Linked DNA regions of Arabidopsis thaliana. The protein of the gene in region 1 interacts with the protein of each later gene in a pairwise test. Each region holds a gene or a part of one and is shown in the gene's direction. Other genes may lie near its edges.

Region 1 (9,461 bases):
GTGATCGTCAATGTTGGTCTGATGAACAAAATCTTATCTTTTGATGAGGTAATTGGCAATCTTATATTTAGATCAACTGCTGCTTCATTGTTACTTTGAGCAATATAATTATATACTTGATGATGATACGATGCTCTATCTTCAGGTTAGTGGCGTCTTGGTGTGTGAAGCAGGATGCATATTAGAAAATCTGGCAACTTTCCTTGACACAAAAGGGTAATAGAACCATGTCTTCGTACCTTCTTTTAGCAACAATGAACTGAAAATTAATAGAAGAGTGTTTCATTATTACTCAACTAGCTCGGTTGTTTTGTCAGATGTAGCAACATAAATTTATGCTTCCTCAGTTTTATTATGCCTCTAGACTTAGGTGCAAAAGGAAGCTGTCATATCGGTGGAAATGTTTCAACTAATGCTGGTGGTTTGCGTCTAATCCGTTATGGCTCACTTCATGGAACTGTATTGGGTAATGACTTACAGTTTTAGTTACTTTCGATCCATCTGAAAACATTTGGATTTCATGTTCTCATCATTTTTATTTTCTTCATCTCAGGTCTAGAAGCTGTCACAGCAAATGGCAACGTGCTTGACATGCTTGGAACTTTACGCAAAGACAATACTGGGTACGACTTAAAACATTTGTTTATTGGTAGGTATTATATTGGCTTGTGCTTGTACAATGATTTCAAGTATCACTTCATCAGCAAAATAGACTAAATCATCTTGATTTTTTCTCTTTACTGGTTTCCACAGGTAGTGAAGGATCACTTGGTATTGTAACTAAAGTTTCTATTCTCACACAACCAAAATTGTCTTCTGTAAATTTAGCCTTCATTGCTTGCAAAGATTATCTCAGCTGCCAGGTTTAATACAATTTCTTTTGTACTCCTGTAATTGAATTCTATCTACAGAGGAGATAGTGCGTGAACTGTTATCTCTCATTGTGTTTCCTTTGTTTGCAGAAACTTCTTGTTGAAGCAAAGAGAAATCTTGGAGAGATACTCTCGGCTTTCGAGTTTCTTGATAACAATTCCATGGATTTGGTAAGCTTTTAGGAAGTTACTAATAGGAACTGTTTGCATTCCTGACACTTTATCTTGTGCACAAGGCTTTGATTTTGCTAAACCCTTTCTGTTTTTAATTCATTCAACAGGTACTGAACCACCTAGACGGTGTACGTAATCCAGTTTCCTCTTCGGAGAACTTTTATATTCTGATCGAGACAACAGGGAGTGATGAAACTAATGACAGGTATTGAGAATTTTCTGGTCTTTCTGTGACTTTCACAATTTTCCAGTACCATTTAAATGAATTCTAAGTATTTCAGATCCCTTGAGAGAGTTTTTGTCTGATTCAAAAACTAATGCAGGGAGAAGCTTGAAGCTTTCCTGTTGAAGTCACTGGAAAAAGGTTTAGTTTCTGATGGTGTAATCGCTCAAGACATTAACCAGGCATCCTCATTTTGGCGCATACGAGAGGTAAAACACTTGAGAGTTATTTCCTCTGAAAAAGCTTGATGGTACACGACGAATAAAGTCATAATCATAACCCTGCAGGGTATAACAGAGGCGTTACAGAAAGCAGGAGCTGTTTACAAGTATGACTTATCCTTACCGGTTGAAGAAATTTACAATATTGTTAACGATCTTCGAGGGAGATTAGGTAAGATATATATCAATACATTGTCTCCTAATTACTTGAAACCGAAAGATTCAATGAAAACTGCAACCAAATATGCAATGCTTCAGGTGACTTAGCAAATGTTATGGGATATGGTCACCTTGGAGACGGAAATCTACATTTAAACATCTCAGCCGCGGAATATAACGATAAGGTAAAATTCTGATATCCATATGAAACATTCCAAGATGTTCAAGTGATCATTCATTCACTCTTTTCTTGCAGCTTTTAGGTTTGATAGAGCCTTATGTCTATGAGTGGACATCAAAGCACCGTGGAAGCATCAGTGCGGAACATGGATTAGGTGTAATGAAAGCTAATGAAATCTTCTACAGCAAATCACCCGAAACTGTAAGTTAACAACAAACAACGTATGGAAACTATGTATAGAACTATCGTGTCACTCTATTCTTACCGGAATATAATATTATGCAGGTTGCATTAATGGCTTCCATTAAAAAGTTGCTGGACCCAAAGGGAATTCTCAACCCTTACAAAGTTCTTCCTCACTCTCTCTTCTCCAACTAAGGTAAAAGATTATTATGCTTTATGATTACGCACCGAAATTATTGAAAGCATCTATCTTTCTATCTATGAATGCTCTTCCAACGTCAAAAGTGAAGAATCATCATCTTTTACTTTGGAATCATTGACATTCTTTTTTCGGCGAATGCAAGGGTGGTGATGAGATGATTCTTCAAACAGGAATTTGGAACATGAGCAGCCAAGTTTGAGCGATATGATTGATGCAAAGGAACAAAAATACAAGTGCTGATTAAAAAGTCTTTAAACTCAAAAGTGTATATGCTTCGCTTCTTCTTCTTTGTTGTTGTTGTTGTTGTTACCTTGTTTTAATATCTTTTTAGTAAAGGATAAGAAAGAATCTAAACCTATTGATCTTACGTGTATTTAAAGTTAAAATTTGCAGTGTATGTAGACCAAAACTCGAAAAGATAATCTATAATAATAGTATTTTCAAGAATCTTCACATAATATCTTTCTATTCTTGGAATTTCTGTTGTAATGGATTTTCTTATTTTGTTCACAAAAAGACTTTATTTTTATTTTTCCCCATAGTTCTGTTTTTACTTCATGTATTACCTTTCTTTAATGTCTTACTAGGAGAAACCAGATCGGTCAGATAAACCGGAATAATATCTGGTCCGATTGATTTGTATAAGTCTAACTAACTTCTCTAATTTAAGAGATAAGCTATAGATTTTAACATATTTGTTCTAAGTTCTACCAAGTATATATTCTTCTGAGACCTAAGTTGGACCTAACTAGATAGGAATATAAGATCCGTATTACCATAGTTCATAGACCATAGTTTCCATGGAACAAATGTGTACAAGTTTTGGTTTAAGGTGAAGCCAATGCATACAACAACATCATGCATCATAATTGTAATTATGACTAGTCAGTTTTGATATATAATCAAGTTGCTTACAACTTTTGTAACCATCGATCCATTCAAAATAATCAGAAGGACAAGGGCAATAAGACAATGAAAGCAATATATCATCGCTAAAAATCCAAGGCATCGTTGAATGATGGATCCATAAACCGGAAATAAATTAAAATAATGTTACAAGCCAACTTTTACCTGATGCATGTATCAATTCTTATTTTTGGTTAATATCAATAATATGCATGCATCAGTTTGGTTATCCTAAAATTTACATAACTCAGATATTCATAATGGTATGAGATTTTTAATTTAAGAAATTTGGTTTTCCGAAATAGATATTGGAATGTTTTATGATAATATTCCTAACTGGTTTGATCATGATCGCGAGAGTAGCAAAAGCGTGTAAGATTCGCTTCTCCAACACAAGTGGAAAGTCCCGGATTAAAGAGAGCCGACACAATAAAAACGACGTCGGATTGATGACTGGACATAGACCCAAACGCTTTAGACACATTGCAAAGATGATAAGACACTATAAAAAGCTCACTGGATATGGCTAAGGAGACAAAACACACACAATCTCTCTCTCTCACACTCACTGTAATAAACACAAATGACGAGTTCTTCTGAATCAACTCGCAAGGTTGGTTAATTGTTTCTTTAACTAAATATAACAGTACCTTTTTGGTTATAATTCCATTGTTGTCTTTGGTTTGATCATCTCTCTCTTGTTCTTACTATGTTAGGGTCTGACCAAAATCGCCACGAACCGGTTGCAGAAAGAGTTCATGGAGTGGCAAACCAATCCTCCTTCTGGTTTCAAGCACAGAGTCTCTGATAATCTCCAACGGTACATAATCATTTTATTGTCTTTCCTTCGAATATTGATAATCGGTGATGTAATGTTGAATTGTTGGTGTAAACAGATGGATCATTGAAGTGCATGGAGTTCCAGGAACTCTTTACGCCAATGAAACTTACCAACTTCAAGTTGAGTTCCCTGAGCATTATCCTATGGAAGCTCCACAGGTTCGTCCTCTAACTCCTTTTGTTAATACTTAACGATACTTAATCATCGCATCAATCTCATAACCCGATGGTTCCACATATAAAACAGGTTATCTTTCAGCATCCAGCTCCACTTCATCCTCATATTTACAGCAACGGTCACATTTGTTTAGGTAAGTACATACAAACACAATGACTCACTCTGTTTCAAAGTCCAATGACAAGACCCTTCTATGTGTTCTTTTGATTATGCAGATGTCTTGTATGATTCGTGGTCACCGGCGATGAGACTAAGTTCCATCTGTCTCAGCATTCTCTCAATGCTCTCCAGCTCATCCGTGAAGGTTTGTGTGTTTTATCTTCTTCTCATATTTCAAAGGCTTTCACAGAATAATCTTCTTCTTATGATGTTTATTGTTCTCTCCTTACAGCAAAAGCCGAAAGACAATGACCATTACTTGAAAAACTGCAAACATGGAAGATCTCCCAAAGAAACTAGGTGGCGTTTCCATGACGATAAAGTATAACATCTCCTATAATATTGTGATTACAAACGAATTGTAAGATCTCAGGTCGAGTTCTTGATCTGTTGCTATCTTTAAAACAAGAACAGCTTCTTTCTACAGTTTAACCATACGAAAAGCTTGAGCATAAAACTTGAAAATTTGGAAATAACATGATTCATTATTATATGAAAGAAATCATCAACTGTTAGTACAAACCAAGAACTGAGAGAATGATTGATCCAAAGAAGAGAGAACTTTGCTTCTAACAAGCCTTCGTGTATATTTGATAGAAGACAAAAATCTGTTTCTATCTCTAAAGAAAAGAGCTGCTGATGACTTTCCATCACATCTTACATTTGTAATAAACACTAGGAAGGACTACTCAGCAGAAGCTTCATTTGTTCTTGCTCATGCTCCATTTTAATAACACCTGCAATGTCAAAACCTAAAGCTTAAGCATATGAAGCAAACACGAATCATACAGATGCTAGAATACCTACTAAAAGTGTTTATAGACCAAGCAATTTCACATGTTTCCCAATAGACTACAAAAGCTATTCTAATTGCTCTTGCTCTGTACATTTCGACAAGAAACTTCAAAGGCCCTTCATGAAACTCAACGTCAAGCTCAGAACTTTACTCCCCTTACAAAAACAAAGCAAGCAACTTTATGCAATTCCAGAATCAAATTAATGTTCATTTCCAATTCTCAAACCTAATAAGCACTAACAATTCAACACCAAGCTCACACAATCTCAAAGCTTGTTTATTCCCATAATCAAACAAACTAAAGCTAGCTAATCCATCTGCTTAGGAGCAATCGAAAGTATAGAGGTACCTAAAAATGGTCACTCCATAGCAACTTTAGCTCCAACAGCCTTCAACTTCTCAATGATCTTCTCTGCTTCTTCCTTACTAACTCCTTTCTTCAACAATGTTGGAGCTTTCTCCACCAAATCTTTCGCTTCCTTCAACCCCAATGCCGTAATCGTTCTCACTTCTTTAATCACCTTTATCTTCGACACTGCATCGTACGCTTGAAGCATCACATCAAACGCAGTCTTTGCTTCCTTCTTCTTCTCTTTCCCTTCTCCGCCGGCGGATTTACTAGCTCCAGATCCCGGTAATGACATCCCTGGCATCATCGCCGCCATCACAGGCAATTCACTGATGTTTAGCTTCTGCCTAAGGATCTCAGTAAGATCCATTGTTTCCAAAAGAGTGAGATTCGATAGCTCATTGACGATTTTGGACACGTTCTCCGATTGCGTCGCCGGAGATGAGTAGCTCCGAGATTGGATCGTGAATAATTGAACGGAACTTGAGCGTGTCTCGGTGGATTTCAAAACTCGTGAGAAGTGAGAGGAGATGATTCGCAGATTCCTCATAGTTTTCACTCTCTATCGAATTGATCTTAGCTTCGTTGAGAATTCATGTCAGTGCATCTGAAGCTGAAATGTGAGAAGAAAGCATAAACCCTAACTAGTGGGATGTGAAATGGGCCTTTATGGGCCTATCAGTTTTAAGATTTAGTGTTTTCTGAATTCATAAATTATTAGGTTCGGTTAGGCCCAATAATAGTTTAAAGTTTATAATTTCAAAATATTTCCTCGTACAAGTTTTATAAATTTCAAACTTATGTCTTAACACAACGCAAATAACACGAAATAAAACTTCCAAATGACAGAATTGAAAAAAACAAACAAAACACACTCCAAAGTAAAAGTAAATGTCTCACATTTGTTCCACAAGATATAAGAAGAGTTTTCTTGTTTCAATCAAGAGTTAATCTTCCTGCAATTCTTCCTGATTTCGCCACTAGAACCTGTCAAGGGAGAGATATTTCCCATCTTGATCATCGATTCCGCAAATTGCTCAAAAAACTCTCCTTGATCTTCTGCATACTTCTTCACAAGCTCTCTCGATTTCTCGTTACTGCTGAACAGAACTTGGTCCGAGTTCAACAACCCCTTGTTCTCTATCAAGTTCTTGAAGTAGCTGTTGTCGAAGCTCGCGGCGCTGATGATGTCTAGCACCGAGAGAATCTGGTCCCCACCGGATTTTGGACACCGTTGGCGCAAGTTAGCAGCGAAGGATTGTTCCAATGTCATGTCTGGACTGCCGTTTCCGGACTGGTTGTACAACCTCTGTCTGAAACTCGTGCATCTCGAGAATCCGATTGTGTGACTACCTGAGATAACATTTGAGAAGTGTGGTGGCTTGAGAAGCAAGTAATGTATAATGGATTTTTTTTAATTGTGTTCCATGTGTGTGAAGCAAGAAACTGTGATAGAGTGACGAAAGCTTACCGGAGAGAGCGACAAGGTCAGTGATATCAAGTCCTTGACGGTTAAACTTAGATAGAATGGTCTGGAAAGTGTTGTTTGGTGCAGGGATGTTGTTGTTCGATTGACTCAAGCTTGCACTTCTTGAATCTCTTCTTCCCAATGGAACAACCCAACTTGGTCCACCGGTCTAAACCAAAAACCAACCGAGTTAGCTGATGTTTCAGTTTTGGTTCGAGAAAATAGAGATTGTGGAGGAAACTTACAAGAACAGAGGAGTCTCTAGCGGCTAGGGTAAGAACATCAGCGCAAGAAACAGTTCCAGGGCATTGTTTCTCCAGTTCAGCTTTGATTTGGTCAACTACGTCAAACCCACGAGCTGATTTGCTGTTAGGGTTTGAGTTTTTCTCAGTCGCTACCCTTCCACTGCTGTCTAGAAGCAAAGAGCCATCACAACCCTACATTTCACAGTTACCTTGTTTAGCAAGTAAACTTAAAACAACATAAAATGTTGAAACGTAAAAGAAATTAACTAAACCTGAACGAAACAGTCGTGGAAATGAAGTCTCAACAAGGAAGCAGCCATACGTGTCTCTCTAGCAACAGCTTTAGCTACAACTGATCTCACGATCTCATTGACTTGTGGGCATGAATGGGCGTAATAACCCGGGAAAAGTTTGCCTCCATAGCTCTTGTCGCAGAGACAGAGAGGGACAAAGCAGATGAGAGAAAGAAGAAGGAGAAAGCTCGTGAGTCTTGCCATTACTTTCAACAAGAAGATGAGGAAATGAGAAGACTTTGTGGTGAGTGATATGAAATAAGAGGGGAAGAAGAACGTATTTATAGGAAAAGACTTGGAAGAATAAGAAACGGAGTTGGTATTAGCTAAATTGGGATGAAGATAAATAATCAAGGGAAATGCAAACAATTAAAAATTGTAAAAACTTATTGGAGAAAAAGAAGATTAAAAGAGACTAATGCTTGGGTTTGGTACCCAGCATTGCATGCTAAGTTTGACTAATAAACCTTTTTTGGTTTAATTAACTAAAATTAATTTGACTTTGGAGACTTGGAGAGGTAAAAGCAAAGCAAACTGAGTTTTTAATATTTAGACTTTATATTTTTATCCATATTTTAACGACTCATAACAATAATTTGAAGAATAAGCTTCTTTTTCCCTAGGAATATATAAATATTGGAATTTTCTAAACATAAAACCATACAGATATATGTGTTCAATATTGATGTTTAATTTGATATAATTTCTGACTTTCTGACTTCTTCAAAGAAAGATGGAGAGTAACTAAACCACCTCTTACGGTCGACAATCATGATCACTAATAGTAATTATTTTTCCTACTAGAAATGAAAAATCAGTTTTCTTGTCAATTTAGATCTTAACATGATAATATATCTCAAGATCAGAATCGTAGGGAATAGGGATGTTTTAATCAACTTGGTTTGATCTAGAAGTATCGATATTTTTGTTTTATTTTCGGAAGGTGAGAGTAAGAGACTAACTTTCACTGATAATCCTTTTGTAGAAGTAAGATAAAAAGCGAGGTAACCAAGTATGAATAGAATAAACAGATCATTTTTCAAGAAAGTAATAACCAATATAAAGCCTAGATTAAACTAAATTCTAAAAGAGGAATGCGAAAAAACAATATTACTTTTTGCAAAAGGACTTGGTTAATAATATCCACAAAACCTTAGACAAAGTCCAAGTCTTTTTTTTGTCTTAGTGAGAAAGGCAAGAGAGTAGGAAGAGATTCTAACCACTCCCTTGACAAAAATATGTTTCAATCTTTGTTGACTTTATAACGATACTCTTGTTCTTGTAACCTAAGCAAAGAAAGAACTCTTGTTTGCTTTGTCTTTTTCTATCATAGCACATGAATCTGGTGAAAACAACATTCTCACGGTGAAGCTATTAACTTTTTGACCTCTTTCTAGAAGGTAGAAAATAAACATACAAAGCAAAATCCAGAAATCGCAGATCACAAGCGTGCCATACCATGGCTTGAAACAGTACCTCTTGTGAGGCACTTGACAAAATTAGATCGCACCATATGTTCTTTCACTTGGTCTCTGTGTTGTTGTCGCTTGAGTAGAAGATGCGGAAGAGCGGTCCCATGAGACTTCATTGGCAAAAGCATTGTTGATGTCTTCAGTTCTTGAGTAGCTTTGTCCACTTCCACTCACCTGTTTATCAAGACCAAAATCAATTAGCTTACATAGCATTTGTCTCTTGAGAGATCCATAAATTGTAACCAAAGACCACAGTGAGCTTTCTCTTAGATTTTGCATAAATGGAATCCTTTTGAGTTTTCTTGTAATACTTACAGTTTCTAGTAAGCCCGATAGAAGTGACATCCCCGGCAATGCATCAGTTCCACGCTGCATCCATACGAGTACATCAGTGATTGAGTGTGTGTATATCACGTGAGAGAATAATTAGAGAATGGAAGTGGAATTGTAGAAAGATATGAAGATTACCACACGCTCTACTCTTGTTTTATAAATAAAGCCCCCACAGCAGAAAAGTGCAGATGCAACGAGGAATCTGAT
Region 2 (11,426 bases), on another chromosome or scaffold:
AGAGATATTGTGTGCACTCACACACACAATGTGAAGATGAGACTCTTGTTTGGTCGGAGACATTTCAAGGAGACGACGATGGACGGGAGTCTCGGACTTATGGAGAAAGAACATTTTGACGCAATTTTCGCGGCTCTTGATTGTTTCTTTAGCTTTTACGTAGCCGATTACTACCCTTTCTTAAGAGGATGGAACCTCCAGGGAGAGGAGGCTGAGTTAAGAGAAGCCGTTGATGTGATTGCTAGGTACAATAAGATGATTATCGATGAGAAGATAGAGTTGTGGAGGGGGCAGAATAAAGACTACAATCGTGCGGAGACGAAGAATGATGTTCCTATGATCAAGGATTGGCTCGACATTCTCTTCACTCTTAAAGATGAGAATGGGAAGCCGTTGCTTACCCCGCAAGAAATCACACATCTCTCTGTGGTTCGTGATAGAAATATACTCATATAATTACTACCAATTAGTTTGTATATTATATATCTGATAAGTTATGGTTTCTTTTTGGTTTTGGCAGGATCTTGATGTAGTAGGGATTGATAATGCAGTGAATGTAATAGAGTGGACACTTGCGGAAATGTTGAACCAGAGAGAGATTCTAGAAAAAGCGGTGGAAGAGATCGATATGGTTGTCGGAAAAGAAAGACTTGTTCAAGAATCCGACGTACCAAATCTAAACTACGTCAAAGCTTGTTGCAGAGAGACCCTGAGACTTCACCCTACCAATCCTTTCCTTGTCCCTCACATGGCACGTCATGACACAACTCTCGCTGGCTATTTCATCCCAAAAGGTATCTCATTTTTCCCCAAAATTTATGCATTTAGGCGTATTTGACTCCAACTCCTTAAATGTAGAATCAGGAATTCTAACTATATTTATTTTTGCTTGATTTGAGCAATATTTTCATATTAGAATATTTGTTCCTTTGATTTATTATTTTGGACTGAAAAGTGAAAATAAGTAGATTGTGACATACGAATCTTTCAAATTATTATTTTATTTGTTTATTAACTTTAATATATTGATTGTTTGATGTGGATCACAGGCAGTCATATTCTAGTGAGTCGTCCGGGTGTTGGTCGAAACCCTAAGACATGGGATGAGCCACTCATCTACAGGCCTGAGCGCCATATAACCGGCAACGAAGTGGTGTTGACTGAACCAGACTTACGACTTGTTTCATTTGGAACTGGTAGACGCGGCTGCGTTGGAGCTAAGCTTGGAACGTCCATGATTGTTACGTTGTTGGGTAGGCTTCTCCAAGGGTTCGACTGGACCATTCCTCCTGGTACGACGGACAGAGTCGAGCTAGTCGAGTCAAAAGAAAATCTGTTCATGGCTAATCCTTTGATGGCTTGTGTGAAGCCCAGATTAGATCCAAACATGTACCCGAAACTCTGGACCGGTCCAGCTTGATCATACCGGTTAACGGCACCACATTTCAATTGCTATTGTCATGTATGAGTAAAATTTGAATAAAGTTTTTGTCTTGAGGAAAAGTTGAAGAGGAATATAGCCCATAACGTTCATAAAAGGCCCAGCCCAGTATTGTTCTGCCGTTTTAATTTGAGCAAAGTAAGCTTCAAGTAAAGAAACGGGTTGAGTGCAAAAATGGAGAAATTAACTTGCAAGTTGAGATTAGCACATAAGAAGAGTATCTAATTCCATCTTGTTCACAAAGTCATTCTTTTAGCATTAATGATCCTATATTTATATCAAATCTCATAAGATCTTCAGTGTATAATATATAGTTTAATTTTTTTCTAGGTTTTCGTTCGAACTCATGTGGGTTCAGTAAATAAATGTTTAAGTCCCCATCTGGCCGCGTCAAAAATACTTAGATAACAACAATTAGTGGTTGACATAGAAAAGTAATGATTGTTGCCGCGTAGAATGAAATTAATAAAATTATAAAGAACAGTGAAGCAATAAATGTTTCCTTGGCGTCTTGAAGAGTAGTCTTCTTAAATATTCCAGCCCAAAAAAAAAAAGATTCTATCCATTATCAAGAGAAGAAAAAAAATCTGAATTCCAATTCGAAGAAGAAGAAGAAGAAGAAAGGAGATGACTATGGGGAATTTCTTAAAGAGATTTGGAAGTGGAAAAAGCAGAAGCAGTAGAAATATGACTCTGGGAACGACGTCGTCTCAATCTCATGAACCATCACCGTCGGATCCTTCACTCTCCCTTGCCGATAATACCAACGCCACCAAGAAGAAGTACGCTCTCATCCCTGACCGCTTCTCTTCCCTCGACCAGGTTCTCTTCTTTTTTGTATCTCTCAATTTCTTGTGTTGACTTGACTTTTGGTTCACCATGTCTTCTGCTACTTCCATGTTCTTTGAGTTCTTCAAAAGTCTAATAGATGTATATGATTATTTTTTTTCTCCTCCATTCATTCGTTGACATTGGGACATAAAATGATTTTGAGTAAAAAAATTGTCTGGAAACTAATTAGAGATGGAGAGTTGTTACTGAGTGTTAACTAGTGAATGGTGTTTAAAAGGTATCAAAAGCTCTAAGAGAAGCTGGTCTTGAATCATCCAATCTCATTCTCGGAGTTGATTTCACAAAGAGCAACGAGTGGACTGGTACCTTCAGCAAATACAACTTATTGTTAAATTCACATATATATTTTTGCAACTGTAAACAAAAAAGTGGTTAACGTTCTGTTTCAGGGAAAACTTCTTTCGATGGAAAATGTCTGCACGCGCTCGGCGAAACTTCGAATCCATATGAAAAGGCGATTTTTGTAATCGGCCAAACGTTGGCTCCTTTTGATGAAGACAATCTCATCCCTTGTTTCGGCTTTGGCGATTGTAAGTTTTTCTTTCCCAAAAATATCATCTTCAGTTCACTCTCTGTTTCTAAGACTCTGTTTTCTTGCACTATCCAGCAACAACTCATGACGAGGAAGTGTTCGGTTTCCATAGCGACAATTCTCCATGTCATGGCTTCGAAGAGGTCTTAGCATGTTACAAGAGAATTGCACCCAACTTGCGTCTATCAGGTCTTTCTTTGAAAATCTAAATACTACCTTCCATAGCTTTATCACCAAATCACAACCTTCCGTGTTCAAAAGGGCCAACGTCGTATGGACCGCTCATCGATGCTGCTGTCGACATTGTGGAGAAGAACAACGGACAATTCCATGTTCTGGTGATTGTTGCAGATGGACAGGTAAAGTTACAAGCAGTTAAGAGAAACAAAGTATGATACCAAAACTTAAAAGGCTACCTTTTGAATGTTAAGGTAACGAGAGGTACGGATATGGCCGAGGGAGAACTCAGTCAACAAGAGAAAACAACCATCGACGCGATTGTAAATGCAAGGTAAAAAAATGCAGATTCAGTTTTTCATTTTTCGCAACTCGATTTGCGGTATCTAAACAAGCCTTTTTCGAAATTCCTTTATTATCTACAGCTCGTATGCTTTGTCGATTGTTTTAGTCGGTGTTGGAGACGGACCATGGGAAGACATGAGGAAGTTCGATGATAAGATCCCTAAGCGTGAATTCGACAACTTTCAGGTATCTTCCCAGTTTCTGTGCTATTTTCCATCTATATTCTCTGCTTTGAGCATCTTCTTGATCTCTGGTCTATGCATAGTTTGTGAATTTCACAGAGATTATGACGAGAAACTCACCAGAGTCTGCCAAAGAAACTGCTTTTGCTCTAGCTGCTCTAATGGAGATTCCCTTTCAGTATCAAGCAGCCATCGAACTCCGCTTACTCGGGTACTTCCATAAGTTCTCAGCATAACAGAACTACCGTCTTTCTGCTCTATTTTTTTTTTTTTTGTCTAATTGCTTCTGCTGGTCCCTGTCCACTTCTGCACCCGTCTATAAAGGAAGCAGACGGGCTTAGCGAAGACAATAGTTCCGAGGCCACCACCAATTCCGTACACACCTCCAACTAATGCTGAACTACCATCAACTGCATCACCTGCATCACCTGAACAAACCCAGGTCTCATAATTTGTATACTTTACTATTTTTCTGCCTTGTCGAATCAACTCCAATCTCATATGGTTTTCCGTTTAACAGAGTTGCCCGATTTGTCTGACTAACCGAAAAGACGTGGCTTTCAGCTGTGGCCACATGGTAAGTTTCACCGATTGCTTTTAGTTTACTCAAACCCATTCATTAATCAACAACCAGTTTTAACTTACCTTTGCAATTTTCCTTTTGCAGACTTGTGGAGATTGCGGATCCAAAATATCAAATTGCCCGATCTGTCGAGTAAGGATCACGAACCGGCTAAAGCTTTACACATGATCAATGGCCACGAACTTTTTTTCTGACCACGGCTTTACACGTGATCAATGCCAACAAACTTTATCTCTGCACATAACAAATCGCTTGCACATAGCCATCTCCTTTGTAGAATCTACAATTTGGTTTGCCAAGTGTTTCTGACAATGTTCCACAATCAGCGTGTACCATGTAATTCTGTATGTACTGTAAAACATTAACTTTGCAAACAAGAATGAAGAAGCAATGTACAAATTACAAAACATAAGTTTTACATTTTATTCATCATAACAAAAGGTTTGAAGTGATTGACATTGTAGCCGTTTGCATAGCACAAAAGTTGTGTCGCTAGATGCCGGTTTCAAAAACAAAAGATATTACGGCCAGGAAACACGCCATTTTTGTATCGACAAAAGATTCGAGTGAGAGGCATTCACTAACATTGACTCTTAAAATAATTCATCCTTACTGAGTTTTGGTTGTCACCGTGTCATCTGGCTTTGGCATTGGTTGGATTCTTTGATAAGGCTTCCTGGTAAGAGTCTCTCCCCTAAGAGCAGCAACGTATCTGTCGTTTGTATCCTGCTTCTGTTTCAACTCACCAAGATATTCAGCTAGCCTCTCTTGGTTTACTTTACCCATCATCTAACAATACAAAAACAGAAATGTATTGTTCATCATAACACAAAAAGATTGAAGATTAACAATAAGCCTAAGGTTAACATACGGCTGTGATCAATAAACTTCCAATTGAATCGACATTGTGAAGCAGAGCAAGAACTCAGATACATGAAATTCCTTGTTAACACAGAACAATGGATTGGTGTATTAGCAACAAGAAAATGCAAATGCTCAATTCAACATATCGAGGCCTAAACACCTCTAACCTCTAGGTACCCAATCCCATAGGAGCTTTGCAAAGTAGCAGAAAGAATCATCATCAAGCAAAGTTCTACTCATCCTCCAAGAAAAGTTCCACACATCAAGCAAGACAACTATAGGAACTATGTACGAACAAATTGTAACCATCAAGTTCAACACCGATTAGCATCAATAGAAGAAAACCAACTACATACGAGAGTATCTGGGCGAGCAGATTTACGGAGGCGGGCTTCGAGCTCAGGGTTACTGGAATTGGTGACCTGCATAACTCCATAGCCAATAACGCCAGGAATGACACCACATAAAGCAGCGAACGTGAAGAAGAAGGATCTCGAATCTCGCGTCTTCATCACTAGCCATCTCCATGTATTGCTCTTCTCATACATGAACGACATCTCTCTCTCTCTCTCCGTTCTTCTCACCTGGGGTTTTTAGGGTTCATGATTTGACTTACAGGTTCGCACTTTAGCGTTAATTGCAAAGAACTCCTATTTGATTATTTATTTACTTTTTGGACCCCATATTATTCTCATGTTTCGTTTGTATCCTGAACAGTATGTGTATTATAGTTCAGCCCCTATAGTTTGTTTTTTATTATGCCATGAACACTCTAGTTTTCTTTTGGTTAAACAACACCCTGTAAGGCTAAGAGGTAATTTGCAAATTGTCATTTTTACTAGCATCTGTATTATGTTTTACTTGTTTACAAAACACAAAAATTAACTTCCCATATATATACAAAAGATAAGAAATATGTTATGGACTTATGGTGTTAAATCTGTTGATTATTGACCATATAATAACCTAATTATAGTAAACTTTTTGGGTAAAATTTCTGATTACAGTCAACTTAATCCGTTTTCCAAGGGTTGAAATAGAGGCGTAGAGTAATTGAAGGACGTTCAAATAATTGTAAACACATCTATCAACTCCAACCAAATGTAAACTAATTTTTTTTTTTTTAATTTCTAAATTACTTGTGAAAATTATAAATTCTTGTTTTAGAAAGCATTTTCAGTTTTTTTTTTAACATAAGGTTTAATTTTCATAAGCGTATCATCACCATCACGCTTGAAGAATGCTCATGATCATCGAATCAAGAAGAAGAAGATGGATCCAAAGTTGTTGCTTTGCTTACCTCAAGGAGATGAACTGTTTAATCCCCTTAATACCATGTTTATTCAAATGGCTTGCATTCTCGTCTTCTCTCAATTGTTTTATCTCCTTCTTAAACCCTGCGGCCAAGCTGGTCCCGTTGCCCAGATTCTTGTAAGGAAATTTCTTTCTTGCGTTACAAGAATCACCCGGTTTTTTGTAGTGGAAAATGTCTAACAAGTTTTTGTTTTGTTATCCATATTGGATATTTTTTAGGCTGGGATTGTGTTGAGTCCTGTTTTGCTCTCAAGAATACCTAAAGTTAAGGAATTCTTCCTCCAGAAAAATGCAGCAGATTATTACTCCTTCTTCTCCTTCGCTTTACGGACATCTTTCATGTTCTTGATCGGTCTTGAAGTGGATCTACATTTCATGAGAAGAAATTTCAAGAAAGCTGCGGTGATAACCTTGAGCTCATTCGTGGTTTCCGGCCTCCTCAGTTTCGCTTCCTTAATGTTATTCATCCCTTTGTTTGGGATCAAAGAAGATTACTTTACGTTTTTCTTGGTTCTTCTCGTTACCTTGTCTAACACGGCATCTCCTGTCGTAGTCCGTTCAATCGCTGATTGGAAACTCAACACATGTGAGATCGGACGGCTGACAATCTCATGTGCGTTGTTCATCGAATTAACAAACGTGGTTCTCTACACTATAATCATGGCGTTCATCTCTGGAACTATCATACTTGAACTCTTCTTGTTTCTTTTGGCAACCGTAGCCCTAATATTGATCAACATGGTCTTAGCTCCATGGCTTCCAAAGAGGAACCCTAAAGAGAAGTACCTCTCAAAGGCTGAAACTTTAGTTTTCTTCATCTTCCTTCTCATCATCGGTATAACTATCGAATCCTACGATGTAAATTCCTCGGTTTCTGTTTTCGCCATTGGCATAATGTTTCCACGACAAGGAAAGACTCACAGAACGTTGATACAACGGCTTAGTTACCCGATTCACGAGTTTGTTCTTCCGGTTTACTTTGGTTACATTGGATTCAGATTCAGCATCATCGCGTTAACCAAACGCTTTTACCTCGGTATAGTTATTATCGTGATTGTAACCATAGCTGGGAAATTTATTGGTGTAATAAGCGCTTGTATGTACCTGAAGATCCCTAAGAAATATTGGCTTTTCTTACCCACCATTCTCTCTGTTAAAGGCCATGTCGGTCTTCTTCTTCTAGACTCCAACTATTCCGAAAAGGTACGTTTACTTATATGATTCCGCTACTTTTATACCATTCACATTAAGTCTTGTTCAATTGTAGAGTGTCTGTTATTGCACACCCACAACAAAACAACAAAAAATGTTACACATGTTTTAGGGTCTGGTATATTTTGGTCAAGAACAGACGAACAATTAACATATATAATAACAAAAACTTATGGTTCTTTTTTTCCCATTCTTTGTCTGAATCTACCTGTAGAAATGGTGGACCACAACTATTCATGATATGATGGTGGCTGCTTTGGTGATAACGACGCTAGTAAGTGGTGTTCTGGCATCTTTCTTGCTTAAAACAAGAGAGAAGGACTTTGCTTACGAGAAGACTTCGCTTGAGTCTCATAACACGAACGAGGAATTACGCATTTTATCGTGCGCCTATGGAGTCCGTCATGCTCGCGGTGCGATCTCTCTTGTCTCGGCCTTGAGCGGTTCTCGTGGAGCCTCTGATCCGTTTACACCTCTGCTTATGCACCTTGTACCCCTCCCCAAGAAACGAAAATCGGAACTGATGTATCATGAGCACGACGAAGATGGAGGCAATGCGAATGGAGATGACGAATTCGGGACCAACGAAGGTTTAGAGATCAACGATTCGATTGATTCGTTTGCTAAAGACAGCAAAATCTTGATCCAACAAGTGAAGCTCGTGACTCAGATGCTTAATATGCACGAAGAGATCTGTAACGCAACAGAGGATCTTCGAGTTTCCATTGTATTTCTTCCGTTTCATAAACACCAGAGAATCGATGGGAAGACTACAAACGATGGGGAACTGTTCAGACAGATGAACCGTAATGTTCTAAGGCACGGTCCGTGTTCCATTGGCATTTTTGTGGACCGTAACATAACCGGATTTCAGCAGCCGCACGGGTTTGATTCTGTACAACACGTCGCGACATTGTTCTTTGGTGGTCCGGATGATCGTGAGGCTCTTGCTCTGTGCAGATGGCTCGCGAATAATACTCTGATTCATCTCACAGTTATACAGTTTGTCTCCGAGGAATCAAAGGCAGAGACTCCTGTTGGAAATGCTATGACACGAGATAATAATGAGGTTTTCATGGAAGTTCTGGGAAGGAATCAAACTGAACAAGAAACAGATCGGAGCTTCTTAGAAGAATTCTATAACAGGTACCTTACTTATACCCTGTTTTTATCACTGCTCTGTTTTGTGTATACTCTGTTTCTGAGAAGAGCTCTGTTTCCCGCCGCTACTCTGTTTCTTTGTTTCTTATCTAAGCTAGGGAAAGTTCAGTTTCCATCAAAGAAACTACTTTTGACATTATTTTCCACTGTGCAACAGATTTGTAACAACGGGACAAGTGGGGTTCATAGAGAAGCTAGTGAGCAATGGACCGCATACGCTGACTATTCTAAGAGAGATTGGAGAGATGTATTCACTGTTTGTGGTCGGAAAGAGCACAGGAGATTGCCCTATGACGGTGAGAATGAAAGATTGGGAAGAGTGTCCGGAGCTTGGAACTGTCGGTGATTTCTTGGCTTCGTCTTTAGATGTAAATGCTTCTGTATTAGTAGTTCAAAGACAGAGACATTCACATGATAGCTTTATAGATGATTAGCAAACGTTTCCTAGTTTATGCAGATTTTTGTAATCAAGAAAATGAAATGGTTCAGTTTATAAAAAATACATGCCATTGTAGGTTTCGCATATTAATTACTCGGAAAATCAACATATGGCTTGATTAACCGGAGCTAAACAGAGGTTTTATACGAAAGTTCAATAAAAGAACAGAGGTTTTTCAAAAAACTCTGCTTTCAGCAACTATGGCTAGTCTTCAAGGCTTGGTCTCTTTGCTCTTGCTCTTCCATTGTATCACAAAGACTTAACCCTTTGGTCTCAGGAAGAAGCAAAGCGAATAACCCGAGACCCGACATTGCAAATCCGAAAACTGCAAAAGAGAGTGACGGCACATTTCTTCCAAGCGAAGCAATGAGTGGGCAACAAGCTCCTCCAACCACAAGCGCTTGTCTAAGCATCATTGTTGCACTATTCCTCACGCATGTAGGAAATAACTCAACCAAATAAATCGCCATTAAATTGAATCCAATCCTAGCGCAGAAGAAAGAACCGAGTTCGAGAGCAAAAGCGATTTTTGTTCTTCCGTAAAGGCTCATTACGAAACAGAGCACTCCTGATGCTCCTCCAATTAAGCAATTTACAAGCACAGAGCTTCTCCTGCTGAATTGCTCGAGCAAGATCGGTGTAACAACAAATGTTGGTAACTCCACCATGGCGTTTAGGGCTTCGCTCATATAAATGTTCACTTTTATGTCTCTAACCGCTAATGGAACTCCATAATACGACATTCCCAACCCAAACATTATGATCATAACAAGTGTGACTCTTCGAAAAGCCCATTTTATAATGAACAAGTCTTTGATTGAGTAGCTTGAAGTTTGCTCTAGTGTTTCTTTTGGACGTAACCTCGAAGATACGGATTCCAAGTAACCTCTATTTGCAGGTGAAATCCGTTTGAGCACTTCAATGGCTTCTTTGTTCTTCCCTTCCAAATGGAGCCAACGCGGTGACTCTAGGGCAAAGAAATAGATGAAAATACTGTGGATTCCTGCAGGAATGGATGTGCATAGATAGAGAACTTTCCAAGAAGCGTGTCGGACAAGGTAAGCGATTCCAGACAACGACATGAACCCTAACACAAACAGAGTAAACGGAACCATAGTAGCTCGCGGTCTCCATTTGGTGGAAATTCGCTCACTTATCAGAACTAACGCGTATGTCCCGGTCTGAGAACGCGCGAATCCGATCACAAACTTTAAGAAGGAGTAGATCCATATGTTGGAGGATAAGAAAATAGAGATTCCAGTGAGTGACATTGCGAAACTCGAGAAAAAAAGAAGTTGCTTCCGTCCCAAGGAACCGTCAGGGATCATAGCCAAAACGACTCCACCAACGATAGAACCCACATAAAAAGTTGAACTAGGTAGACTTCTGAGGAAGGAGCTGGAGCACTCGAGATCGAACTCTGAAATGACTGATTTACCTTTGAAACCACCGTCCCAATCCCAAGCTGACCGGGGAATCTTACAGATATCGGTAGTTGCCGGATTGCAGATCGTGTGGTCAAGACAGTGCCACGTGGGATATGCATCTGTGAAGACGGTGATGAATATCTGCTGAGAGTCAAAGGTTAGCGCGAGCCCAACGAGAACTATCTGTAAGAACTGCGAGAATCCGAAATCAGACAAGCTTTTCTCGAGGATCTTGTCGAAAGTCAGAGGTGAAGAAGTGTCTTCATCTTCTTCAATGTGGGTGGGCAACAATGGTGCCAACGAATCCGCCATGGTTGCTTACTTTGATCGATCTTGTTGAGAATGTGAGAATTATTACATCAAAATTAAAAACAAACAACTAGTACTTTTGAAAATATATAATGTGTGGTCAAGAGATCTGATCTTTGATGATCAATGAGAAATTGTTTTTTTCTTGTTTGTTTTTGTCTTTTTGAACAAACTGTTTAAGATTTGTATCTGTGCGGGCCTTTTTGTGTTAAACTATGACCAATAATAATTGAAGCACAATATAAATACATAGTTGCTGATGTAAGTACATGCGACATATCAACATGGACACTTCTGCTTATAAATTCATACTGGGCCGTTAAGTAAAGCCCATTTTAATTGGTTACTCAAATTGAGAAGTCTACCGCTCACGTGTGGCCCACGATAAGTACGTTATGCTTCCACATGTTGCAGAGAATTGTGAAACTTGACCACTCAACTCTTAACATCTCGCCGATAATTTTTTGTTTTTGTTTTTTTTGTTTTTGTCATAATTCGCCAAGAAATTATGTTATATATAATATAACGAATAAAGAAAGGGGACTATCAAATTGAATAGTAAAATAAATTATTATAAGCTTGGCTTAT
Region 3 (10,993 bases), on another chromosome or scaffold:
AACGAGTGATCGTACGTTGCTGAGACGAGCAGCGAGAGAAACAGCTTTCTTCGCAGCAGAAAGCATCTCATCGTAAGACATTGAAAAATGGGTAAAGCAAAAGAGTACCACGAAGTTGAAGAAGAAAATCTCTGAAAGAATCGATTTTTATGATATGAATGGAAAAACCTCTCGCGACTCTGAAGCAACTTCTCTTCCCAATTTTTATTTTGATTTAGAAATATACGTAATACTAATAAAATAATAATTAGTTGATTGAATATAGTTTGGTTTTTGGTATTTAAAATGTATTTATTTGCCAATCTCTCTACCGTTGTGGAAAAGTAGGCAAAGTATAGAGTCCCCTACCGTTGCGACAATGATAAGTTTCTCTCACGTTGTCTCATTCCTCTCTTTATTTTGTTTATTATACTCACCAAAATTTTATACTATTTTTTAATTAATAGTTTTATTTTTATTTTATAATTTTGTACATTTTAAAAAGTTTTATTATTATTAGAATACTCTGCAGATTTCAGATGGCATATTGCAAAACTGCTATAATCCAAATGAGGAAAACATAAATACATGTAAACAATCCAAGAATGAATTGGTCCAATAGGAAGATATTTTCTTAGAGAGAGATATTTCATTTTATATGAATTCAGATTTTTATATTTTATTTAGTAATATATATGTAATTTCGGTAAGTTTGCTTTCTTTTTGTAGGTGAAGATAACAATCCTGATTAATTTTATGTTTGGCAAGAAATAGTATATGATTCTCAACTTTCTAATTAAATTATTTTGGGTTCGTTGTATTTGTTTAGTCTTTTCTGATATGCTTTTATTCCAAAGAGGTTATATGCTTCTTCTTCCTTTTTCCCTCTTCTTTTATACTAGCTTACTAAATTAATAATTAGAGGTATGCTAATCTTAATTAAATTATATTGCAAATTGCTTTTATAGATATTGTAAATGACGTGTGTACCTTTTGTGTGGCCAGGTCTTGTCAAATCTTTCGCTGAAAACAGGTTATTGTGTGTTATATCAACAACTTATCATTATTAACACAAAATATCTTTGTAACATGGATTAAAAACAAAGCAGCTAGTATATATTATTCACATGAAAAGATTAAAAAAAATTGTGCGACTAGTAGATTTGTGATCGCCCCTTTATAAAGTTTGACTAGATCACTAGACTACATTTAATTATTTACAAAGTCTCAACGATTCCTTTCATCGTGAATGGGATATTATTGGGAATAAAATCACGAATTTCTAAAAGTTGCACAATAATATATATTTTTTTGTAAGATGGTACACAATAATATTTTAGTTATACTATAACCAAAGAAAAAAAAAAACTATTTACACCATATTAATTATTTCTATATGAAGAGATTTTCTACTTAACGCGCTTACTTTCGTATTAAGATAAAGTATCTACGCACTGTAGACACGTACGTCGGTGCATCATGCATGTAACCCTTAAAAGGCCTTTTTACGGCCCGTTACTGGTCCATATTAAATTCTCTACATAACCCTTTATACTTAGCCCAAAACAGAATTTCATTTTTATTTCTTTTTCGAAAATGGAAGAAATTCTCACTGGTGAAATTCGGTGAAAGAAAATGAAACAACAGTTACAGAGAAACAAAGAACGTACGAGAGAAAAAAACAAATCAGAGAGCTGAAGCTTTCTCTTGCTCAGCTATGGAGTCACGAACTGCTTTCAAAAGCAGAGGCATTAGCTTCTCGTTAGCAACGATAATGCCTGTGTCCAAATCAAGATACTTCCCTTTCGAGAAATCCAGTGGCTTTCCTGCTGCATCTGTCACTATTCCACCCGCCTCTGCACCAAAAAGAAGAATCAACCTTGCATTCCTTATCTATTTACATCCGCATGTCGACACTATAAAATTAGCTTCATAGAGAGTAAGCTTTAATGTTACCTGTAACAACTATAGCACCAGCGACATGGTCCCAAATCTTTTCGCGGTATCCTTTATGAGGAAACCGTAAGTATATAGCTCCATCTCCTCTTGATAAAGCTCCATACTTTGCTTGGCTATCAATACGGACTGGTGGAGCTTTGACACCGAGTTTCTGTATATTACAACATAGAACATGATCAAATGGATGAGGAAAATTAGTTAGCTATTAGCTGGAATCACATGGAAGGAAAGAAGCAATTTACATTGGCAATGGAGCTGGATAAGTCATGTAGAGAGTGAGCTCCTTCGAATGACTCGAAGAACGATGCCTCTTCAGGATTCTCAACACTAGAGACTTGCACTTTTACAGGAGAAGATTTTGAATCTAGGAGCTGCATATATGTCCCTGAACCAATTGTAGCAAAGAAGAGGCATCCAATTTCGTCTGACGAAGATTTGTTCTTGTTGTTTCCTGCTATGGATGCTAACGGCAAGTTTGGACAAGCAAGCACACCTAAAACTACTTTCCCTTCCTCGAGCAATCCTAGTGCTACTGCGTATTGATCTCCCCTCAGAAATCTAAAATCATGAAAATGCTCAGTGTCAGGAACATAACATCTGACTCAACATTCTATCAAATTTACATTTTCTCTGAAATAAGAAGATTTGACTTTAGGCTAGTTAGTTTTAAAACGTACCCTTTAGTGCCATCAATTGGATCCAAGACCCAGTGTCGACCATTTGGACCACCTTCAGATGTTCCACAGTCAATGGCTCTAAGTAGATCATCAGTAGACAAAGTAGAGCCATTAAACGATTCCTCGGTAGCCAAAGTGTCGTTCACGAGTTTTGTGATGCGCTCCAGAGTATCCTGAGAACCATCCTTGCGTAGATCGCCTGAGTCCTATATAGATCATTTTAGACAATGTGAGTCCATAAACACAAACTCAAAGATAAGTAAAGTGTGAGACATCTAACAAGGATTTATTAAGCAGTTTCACCTCTTCAGCCACCAATGAAAAGGGTTCAGAACTGAGCTCTTTTTCTAAGACTAAACTAACAACTGCTTGTGAACCTGAAATTCAACACAAGACAGATCAAATTAAGTGATTTCCTAACAATCTCAGTAACATTCAAAGAGAAGAGCTTTTTCTAATCAGGGACAGGTATAACAAACTAACCATAATCAGCAACGGTCACTGGACTTTTATCAGATTTTGATTGCACATCTGATTGCAACAAAGCCTTTTGAACTTTCTGAAACAAACCCAAAACACAAAGATAAGATTTTGATCAAAGATTTACACGAGCTTCGTATGTAGAGGACCATTACACTATATCACTAGAATCTATTCCCAATTACAGATGCAATGCACAATAAACACAAAATGTTAAACGAAATTTGGAAGATTTACAAAATGGGTTTCTTAAAGAATCAAACTTTAGAATCTATGGGTCATGATTGAATCGAAAAAACCCTAACCTGACAGAGACGAGCAGCGAGTGAAGCAGCTTTCTTAGCAGCATCAAGCTCTTTCTCGTAAGCCATCGATGAAACAACTCTGAGAGTAACAAATGAAGGAGAAGAAGACTTGCGTCCGAATACAGAAACGAGACGGTTCGATGAATTTCTAGGTCTCGAATTCGTTCTTACTGCTACAAATGATTGAAGCGGAGCCTTCGCTGTTCGAAAACAATTTATAGACATCATTCGCTTTTCAAGAAGATAAATATATGTCTTCACATTTTCTGATTGCAGAGACAATTATTATTACTTTTTTGAATTTCCCATTTACACCAGTGTACTTATTTATTCTCTGAACTTAAACCCTAAACTTTATTTTAGATCAAGAAAGGCCATATTTGCTCTGTTGGTTTAGGGGTCCATGTGGCACCAATTGAAAGAACAAGTACAAACGGTGAAAATCATAAAAATAAAAAACTTTAGTGATCTTCGTAGATTGGTTGTTGAGTTTTGGGCTAATCGCACGTGGATGTTGTGGTTGAAACATAAGTGAATTTATAGGTGGTGAAGATACAAAAAGGCTTCTTGATGAATGAAGAAGCCCAATAAAAACGGTTCTGGGTTAATATATTTTGAGGGAATCAAAAGCCCAAATAATTTTCTTCAGACAAGAGCTACAGCTTTGCCACGTTGTCCACATGAATCATGTTGAAATTTGGTCTATGATTTTGGGTTATGGATAAATCATTAATGACGCAGAGACAAGACTAAAAAAGATTTCTAGATTGATGATGGCGTGTGAGAGAGCAAAATACGTTTTGATTATTTGCCGGCGCAAGCAAAGGGTCACGTTCCACTAACTTTCAAGATTCAACAAAACCCACTTTCTATAGTTTTATATGTTCATTTTTTTCTGCTAAAGTATTTTTATATGTTCATATTTCTCTTTTGTGCCATCTTTTTAATAATTTAATCTTCCTACAGAAGATAATCTCCAACAAAAGTTTTTTCTTACAAGAAAGATTCCGAGAAGTCTTTTGTGTTTTCAACAAACTCCAGGTTGATATATACTTGCCACTTGTGTAACTGTATCTTTTATTCTTGATTTTGATTGGTTTCTTCTCCAAAGATTGGATTTCTGAAGGTTCTTGTGCTGCAGGGTTTTTTCAATGAACATGAGCAATAAACGTAATCAGCAACCTTCGTATATTGCTGATCATTTCAGCAGTTTGGATCAGGTCTCATAAACTTACTTAGTTATTTCTTGATTTTAGTCTCTTTCATAGTGATGAATTTCTTGTGAACTTTGCTTTTTAGGTGATAACTTCTCTGAGAGAAGCTGGACTTGAATCTTCAAATCTGATTCTAGGAATTGACTTTACCAAGAGCAATGAGTGGACAGGTAATTATTTGATTTGATAAAAAATGCTACACATGTTTACGAAAAGATTCAATGGTTTTGGTTAATGTTCTGAATTTTCATTGCAGGGAGATATTCATTCAATAGAAAAAGCCTTCATGCCATTGGTAAAAGACAGAATCCATATGAGAAAGCAATATCGATTATTGGTCGTACTTTGTCTCCCTTTGATGAAGATGATCTTATACCTTGTTTCGGTTTTGGCGATGGTTAGTTTCTTATTTCTTGCTTTCAAGATGAATGAATAAGATAAACCAAAGTTCTTAATGGTTTTATGTTTTCTTCTTCCTGCAGTAACAACGCGAGATCAATATGTATTCAGCTTTTATCCCGAGAACAAAAGCTGCGACGGATTGGAAAACGCAGTTAAAAGATATAGAGAGATTGTCCCACATTTGAAGTTGTCCGGTATTTTTGAACTTTCAAAAATGGAGCAGTTTTGTTCTCTCTTATCGTAAAGATTAATCAGTGTATTCTTCCCTCACAGGTCCTACCTCGTTTGCACCGGTTATTGATGCTGCCATCAACATAGTTGAGCAGAACAATATGCAATACCATGTTCTCGTCATTATCGCAGATGGTCAGGTCACAAGAAATCCAGATGTGCCGCTTGGTCGACTTAGTCCACAGGAAGAAGCTACTATGAACTCGATAATGGCAGCGAGGTAAAACTATTCAATAAGCTCATATTCATGATCAGACTTCATATGTATACTAATGATGTTTGATATAAATTTTCCAGCCATTACCCATTGTCGATAGTCTTGGTTGGAGTAGGAGATGGACCATGGGACACAATGAAACAATTCGATGACAATATTCCTCACCGTGAATTCGATAACTTCCAGGTAATATAATAAAACCCTGAATAGCTCTGTTTTGTTCCTGAAACATGAATCATGAAAAACTGTGTTTTGTTCCACAGTTTGTAAACTTCACGAAGATAATGTCAGAGCACAAAGATGCGGCTAAGAAGGAGGCTGCTTTCGCACTCGCAGCTCTCATGGAGATCCCTTTTCAATACAAGGCTACATTAAGTCTCAAGTAAATGCAATAAAAAATTTACCGTTGGAAACTACTTGTATCACTCACTGTTTATGGTCTTATTGCATTAGATTCTTTGCCAACTAAACCAACCTTTGATTGTGCTTATGAACAGTAGAAAACCAGTGCGCAGTTCCCATCAGCACCACAAGCCACTCCCGCCACCACCAGAGGTTATAGAGCGTGACAATGCTGTTAGATCGGTGCCAAATCAGATGACAGAAACTGCAGAGAAAAGTGACAGACTCGCTCCTTCCACAGTGCCGGTAAATACTCTATTATTTCTGCCTTTGTTTCTGTTCTTTTGTCAATGAGTATACTCAGTTTCTCTGATACTGAGATTTACATTCCTTTTGTTTTTCAAAAAGGTATGCCCGATTTGCTTGACGAATCCAAAGGACATGGCTTTTAGCTGCGGTCACACGGTATGTGAAAATTTCAAAGGAACAATTATACTCTTACTTGTTCTATGAACTGTACTGCTTCTAGATCGATTTTGTGACATCTCCGATACTTTTTATTTCAAATAAAGACATGCAAGGAATGCGGAGTTGTTATCACAACATGCCCACTATGCAGACAACCAATAACAACAAGGATAAGGCTGTACACTTGACTCGGAAAAATTCTTAGAGATGAGACAAATTATATGGTTAAGCACTTGAGCTTCATGTTTATACTTCTGTAGAACATTGTACAGTCCAAGCAGAAGAATTGTAAAGCATAAATCTCGAGTTGTAGTTCATATGTAATTCTTAGCCTGCCGAAACAAGGAGATATGCGAGAAGAGTTCTCTTTTTGTATTAATCAACAGCTACGTACAAATAAGCCGAAGAGGTCCTTTTTATAACATTCCAAAGAGACCTACAAGTTCTAAATCAAGCGGAAAGTGTAACAGCAACGATACCAATGGAAAAAAGAGAGAGCTAAAAACAACCTTAAATACTTATTAGAAGCTCCAACGGTCGAGTTGTTGCCTGGCTACAGCCATGTCTTTTTGTGCTTTCATTCTCCGGTAAAATATTGGACAATCTCGACTGTAAAAGACCAATAAGAAATCCAGAAAGGAAATTGGATCAGAACCTATTTACCTGCTGAAAGATTTCTAAAAGAAATTGATATCGATAAAAATATAAGCAAACCTGGTGCACAAGACATCTTGATGAAGAGAGCCTTGACACTCCTGGCACTGTGTCCACAGCCTCCCAAAAACCTCTTCAAGCTCAGCCACTGAATAACACAACGAAAGTATCAAATTTTATAGATATATCAAAGAGTCTATAGGAAAGGGAAAAACGGCAGCATACCTTGAGACACGTTTTTGCAATATAACTCGGCTTCTCTTCCCTTGCAACTTGCGCATAGTGTTCCATTGCTGGTTGAAGTTAAAAGCGAATATTGATAAACAGATCCCATATATGAAAACAGATAATACATAGGCAAGGGACCACAAAGTACCTGATCGGAACTTTGCAGCCAACACAGCTCAGTTGTTTTTTAGCAAACTTCATTATACCGCTGTTTGAAGGAGTAGTGATTGATATTGACCTCGTGTGACTTCCATGGAGAAGCTCCTTGCTAGCATTTTTCAGGACTGGCTCAAAAATCCTAAGAAGTGGCTGAAAACAACATCTCCTTTAACCTACAATCACCAGAATAAAGAGTATAGAATAAACTTATACACAAACGCCATGTTGAACTGACCTTGCTAATCTGATTCTCCAAGTAGTAATTTGGGTCTATAGGGATATTATTCTGTAGCACGTAGATTGGATCTTCTGATCGTTCATAAGCCTATCAGACGTCAAAATGAGATAAGCACGGAAGAAGAGAATGACCTTAACATCTTATGGAAAAGCTAACACAAGCTTGACATGAAAACTACCTTGGCACCTTTAGCAGCTTTTATGATAACATACGGTACTCGATCTCCAACATTTGGCGCTGTAGCAGCATCCCTCTGTCACATATGTAAGCAAACACTGTCATATTCACATGATAGATCATCAGACACCGTAAAACAGATCTAAGTTTCAGAGCAACCTTTGTATGATATTATATATTCACCAAAAAGCCGGAAAAAAAATTCATATATTCAGCAAAATTATGCATGACTTAAGAAAAATCCCTGCACTTGTGCAGCTATAAAAAGACGACCAAAGAACCATATTAAAATATTATACAAGCCAAAAATTAAAATTTAATTGTTTAGCACTCCCATTTTTCAGTTTGAGAGTGTCCATGAGATGCTGGAATTAGAGTAAAGGAACGAAAATTCCCCTAGACACATTTGTACATGTTTCTTCACGAACGGAAACGGTCAAGAGTTATCTTAACATGTAATGAAAATGCTTAATCCTGCAAATGATAGACGAAAATAGATAAAGAGTACCACAAACCTTACGCATGCGTTCAGCAAGTTCACCATGAGCTGATTTAACTTCATAATCATCTCCTGTTTTCGTTAGACCCTATGATTTGAGGAAACACATCAGGAGCATTATCCATTTGATTCTTGTTTTAGTTTTAACAGATGGCTTTAATCATTAAAATACACTTTCAGGCGATACAAACATCACAGGACAATAAATCAAGTAAAACATATTACCTTAGTAATCACCAAAAGTGACAAGTCAATACGGTTCATGAGAAGATCCGAAATGGTTTTCTTGACATTTTCAGCTGCCCCTGGAACATCTCTATCAATAAGTATTTTGTTAAGACTCTCAGTCACGAGGTTCTTAACCAGTAAACAATTATCCCTTCGTACTGTCTCGATTCCTGCCAAAGTCGGTGATATTGAAATTTAGTCAGGAAATGAATAAGAGAGAGGCTGTAAAATCACGAAGATTTACCTTTGGTGTCCATTTTGTCAAACTGTTGAGGATTTGTCCATAGCAAACCAGCATACCTCTTCTTGTTAATGAGAAGATATGGGAAATAGACCTTTTCAAACTCCAATTTGATGGGCTTTATGACATCATACACAATCAAGAAACAGAGAACGATTCAGCCTGTTATATTTTGTTTTCAAGAAATCACGTAATCTTGCACCTCTACCCCAAGGATTAGGGAGAACCGGAGAAGTTTAAGACATGCTCCTAGAAAATCACTTACTTTGATAAAAGTTCCACTAATGTGTTCTGCAGCTTCCCTCCCCAAGGTCATCGCAGCTTCTACATCCGATACTCCAAATTGCACCATGACTGAATCCGTGTCTCCATAAATGACCTAATACATCATAGTCCATCAAATTCGAGAAATCTAAGAGCAAACTTAATGATTCACTCAAGTCTTTTCAATACAACGAATAATTCAATGAACATGTACCTCTGCATTGTATTGATACCCTCCCAGTGTTGTGAATTTGTCTTCAACAAGTTTCTTTGTTTGTTCAATCATCTGACGACCTTCAAAAAGATACAAATCCATCAGAACGAACCTAAAAGGCTACGTGTCTAGAAAAGTTGCAGTTTCACAAAAGAAATACCATAGCTAGTTACACTCGAGGATATTTCTAAGCATGGTAACTGCCCAACAGTGGCTCCCGTAAACCCGTAGACAGAATTTGCACTGATCTGAGAAAAAATAGAAAACAAATGTAAAAGAGCAATTTACAGGGAGGATATTGTTCGAAATTTTCCGAGGATTGTAATCATTTTTCTGAATGACCAAGTTAAAGAAGCTGGCAGTAAAGAAGTTCACCTTCAACGCTAACTGTCTACCATCTAAAACAGCCTTCTCAAGGGGATCCTTAGCCTCCTAGATTAGACAATACCAGTTTCAATAGTAGTAGTTAAAGGCTGTATACAGATACGCACACACTGCAAGAGTTTCTTCGGAATCAAATGTTTTACCTTTAAATCTGCTTTAGCTCTCTTACGGGCAGTAAGAAGCTCTTCGAGAATTTCTGGAAGTATACCCTGAAATAAATTATTCATTTTGTTAATAAACTGCTGTCTTCCCTGAATTTATTAATTGGTTGTATTTCCTGAAAGAACTCATTCAACAGAATTTGCGGAACTTGAGGATAATAAAAATCTAACTAAATGCGGAAACCTTTTGCAAAGTTTGCTTAACAAATGTTTCCCCTGATGGAGTTTTAGTGACATGTTCAGGTGGAAGATTCAGTTTGCGTACATCTTCAGGTGTCACCTTCAAAGACAAGAACATGGAAATAATGCTCCCAAATTAATAAGGTGTATAAACAATAGATGATAAAATAAATAGAAATTGAAAAGAAAATATCAAAAGAATTACCAAGGTGCAGTAGCACAGATTATATGCCATCATAATTGACGGGTACAGTGAAGCAAAATCCAAAGTTGCAATTGGCTTTTCATAGAAACCTGTTCTTGCTTCTAAAACCTGAATATCGTTTGACATATCCAAAACAACAAACATGTCGGAACAGTGGAATTAATGCAACCGATAGGCCAAAAGGAAATGTTAGATCCATAAATCACCCACTTACAGTTGCGCCTTCATAAGTTCCTTGTTCGGACCCTGACTGTTTAGCATTTGGAAGAACCAGATTTTTCTGTTTGCCTTTCCTAAGAAGCTGAGATAAAACCTAGAAGCAAAGACACAATATATCAGCCACCTTATTAAACTGAAACACATCCAGAAACTAGAAGTTGAGAACTACCTTGATACTCTGTCCTCTCGCAAGAAGAAATGAAATAGGGACACCAGTTACACGAGCCATTTCGACATAATTATATATAAACATCAGTTTGTCCAGAAGCCTCTGAGGAAGATATGCATCCTGTAACAGAGAAAAGAAACGTGGTGAAGTTGTAGCTTCTTGTAATATTTAGTTGGTTGACTATTAATAGAGAAGCAGCTAAGTTAGTGTCTGAAAATCCTTCCACACATCCTACGAAACACATTATTCCATGTGTCACAAATATCGCCAGCAATTGCCAGAAGTCCTTCAAGCCTACCTCACATCCAGATTCCAGCATGCTCAAAAAAATCATGAATGGACATATGAGCAACCATTTCTATACACCCTTATCTACAAGGTTTCCTCTTGCCACACGTACAAAAATATAAGCAGAGATTACTAAAAAAGTTTTTAAAACACACATCAATGTTCATCTTTTACACTAGAAAGGGTGGGACTTGGGACTCCCATCATAGCT

Evidence for each region.
Region 2: the proteins of UBC17 (region 1) and RGLG4 interact in a two-hybrid assay, tested with the Arabidopsis thaliana proteins (one study listed by BioGRID).
Region 3: the proteins of UBC17 (region 1) and RGLG3 interact in a two-hybrid assay, tested with the Arabidopsis thaliana proteins (one study listed by BioGRID).

What each region holds. Positions count from the first base shown.
Region 1 is NC_003075.7:17,198,265-17,207,725, forward strand, and holds UBC17 (ubiquitin-conjugating enzyme 17), read left to right. Parts: upstream 1-3,657; 5' UTR 3,658-3,704; coding exon 3,705-3,734; intron 3,735-3,837; coding exon 3,838-3,941; intron 3,942-4,017; coding exon 4,018-4,120; intron 4,121-4,208; coding exon 4,209-4,272; intron 4,273-4,354; coding exon 4,355-4,443; intron 4,444-4,530; coding exon 4,531-4,626; 3' UTR 4,627-4,724; downstream 4,725-9,461. Other genes in the region: D2HGDH (FAD-linked oxidases family protein), read left to right, coding at 1-48, 146-216, 348-466, 554-649, 754-863, 963-1,043, 1,154-1,251, 1,370-1,478 and 4 more; AT4G36420 (Ribosomal protein L12 family protein), read right to left, coding at 5,454-5,993; AT4G36430 (Peroxidase superfamily protein), read right to left, coding at 6,384-6,796, 6,915-7,080, 7,157-7,348, 7,429-7,653; AT4G36440 (G-protein coupled receptor), read right to left, coding at 8,949-9,095, 9,237-9,290, 9,390-9,456. UniProt on the Arabidopsis thaliana protein: Accepts the ubiquitin from the E1 complex and catalyzes its covalent attachment to other proteins.
Region 2 is NC_003070.9:29,858,744-29,870,169, forward strand, and holds RGLG4 (Ca(2)-dependent phospholipid-binding protein (Copine) family), read left to right. Parts: upstream 1-1,747; 5' UTR 1,748-2,068; coding exon 2,069-2,263; intron 2,264-2,510; coding exon 2,511-2,595; intron 2,596-2,682; coding exon 2,683-2,823; intron 2,824-2,900; coding exon 2,901-3,014; intron 3,015-3,086; coding exon 3,087-3,184; intron 3,185-3,256; coding exon 3,257-3,336; intron 3,337-3,427; coding exon 3,428-3,533; intron 3,534-3,612; coding exon 3,613-3,740; intron 3,741-3,853; coding exon 3,854-3,971; intron 3,972-4,049; coding exon 4,050-4,106; intron 4,107-4,196; coding exon 4,197-4,280; 3' UTR 4,281-4,573; downstream 4,574-11,426. Other genes in the region: CYP79C1 (cytochrome P450, family 79, subfamily C, polypeptide 1), read left to right, coding at 1-429, 521-794, 1,050-1,420; AT1G79390 (centrosomal protein), read right to left, coding at 4,722-4,901, 5,333-5,533; CHX2 (cation/H+ exchanger 2), read left to right, coding at 6,249-6,407, 6,510-7,493, 7,717-8,648, 8,821-9,097; OCT5 (organic cation/carnitine transporter5), read right to left, coding at 9,294-10,841. UniProt on the Arabidopsis thaliana protein: Possesses E3 ubiquitin-protein ligase in vitro.
Region 3 is NC_003076.8:25,602,475-25,613,467, reverse strand, and holds RGLG3 (Copine (Calcium-dependent phospholipid-binding protein) family), read left to right. Parts: upstream 1-4,161; 5' UTR 4,162-4,441; intron 4,442-4,480; exon of another isoform or gene 4,481-4,541; 5' UTR 4,542-4,551; coding exon 4,552-4,620; intron 4,621-4,699; coding exon 4,700-4,784; intron 4,785-4,870; coding exon 4,871-5,011; intron 5,012-5,096; coding exon 5,097-5,210; intron 5,211-5,289; coding exon 5,290-5,467; intron 5,468-5,544; coding exon 5,545-5,650; intron 5,651-5,727; coding exon 5,728-5,846; intron 5,847-5,961; coding exon 5,962-6,112; intron 6,113-6,214; coding exon 6,215-6,271; intron 6,272-6,378; coding exon 6,379-6,462; 3' UTR 6,463-6,697; downstream 6,698-10,993. Other genes in the region: AT5G63990 (Inositol monophosphatase family protein), read right to left, coding at 16-81; SAL1 phosphatase-like protein, read right to left, coding at 1,666-1,835, 1,936-2,089, 2,181-2,496, 2,616-2,821, 2,919-2,992, 3,099-3,174, 3,401-3,466; AT5G63960 (DNA polymerase delta subunit 1), read right to left, coding at 6,796-6,883, 6,989-7,076, 7,154-7,221, 7,305-7,465, 7,551-7,640, 7,732-7,806, 8,246-8,317, 8,455-8,627 and 10 more. UniProt on the Arabidopsis thaliana protein: Possesses E3 ubiquitin-protein ligase in vitro.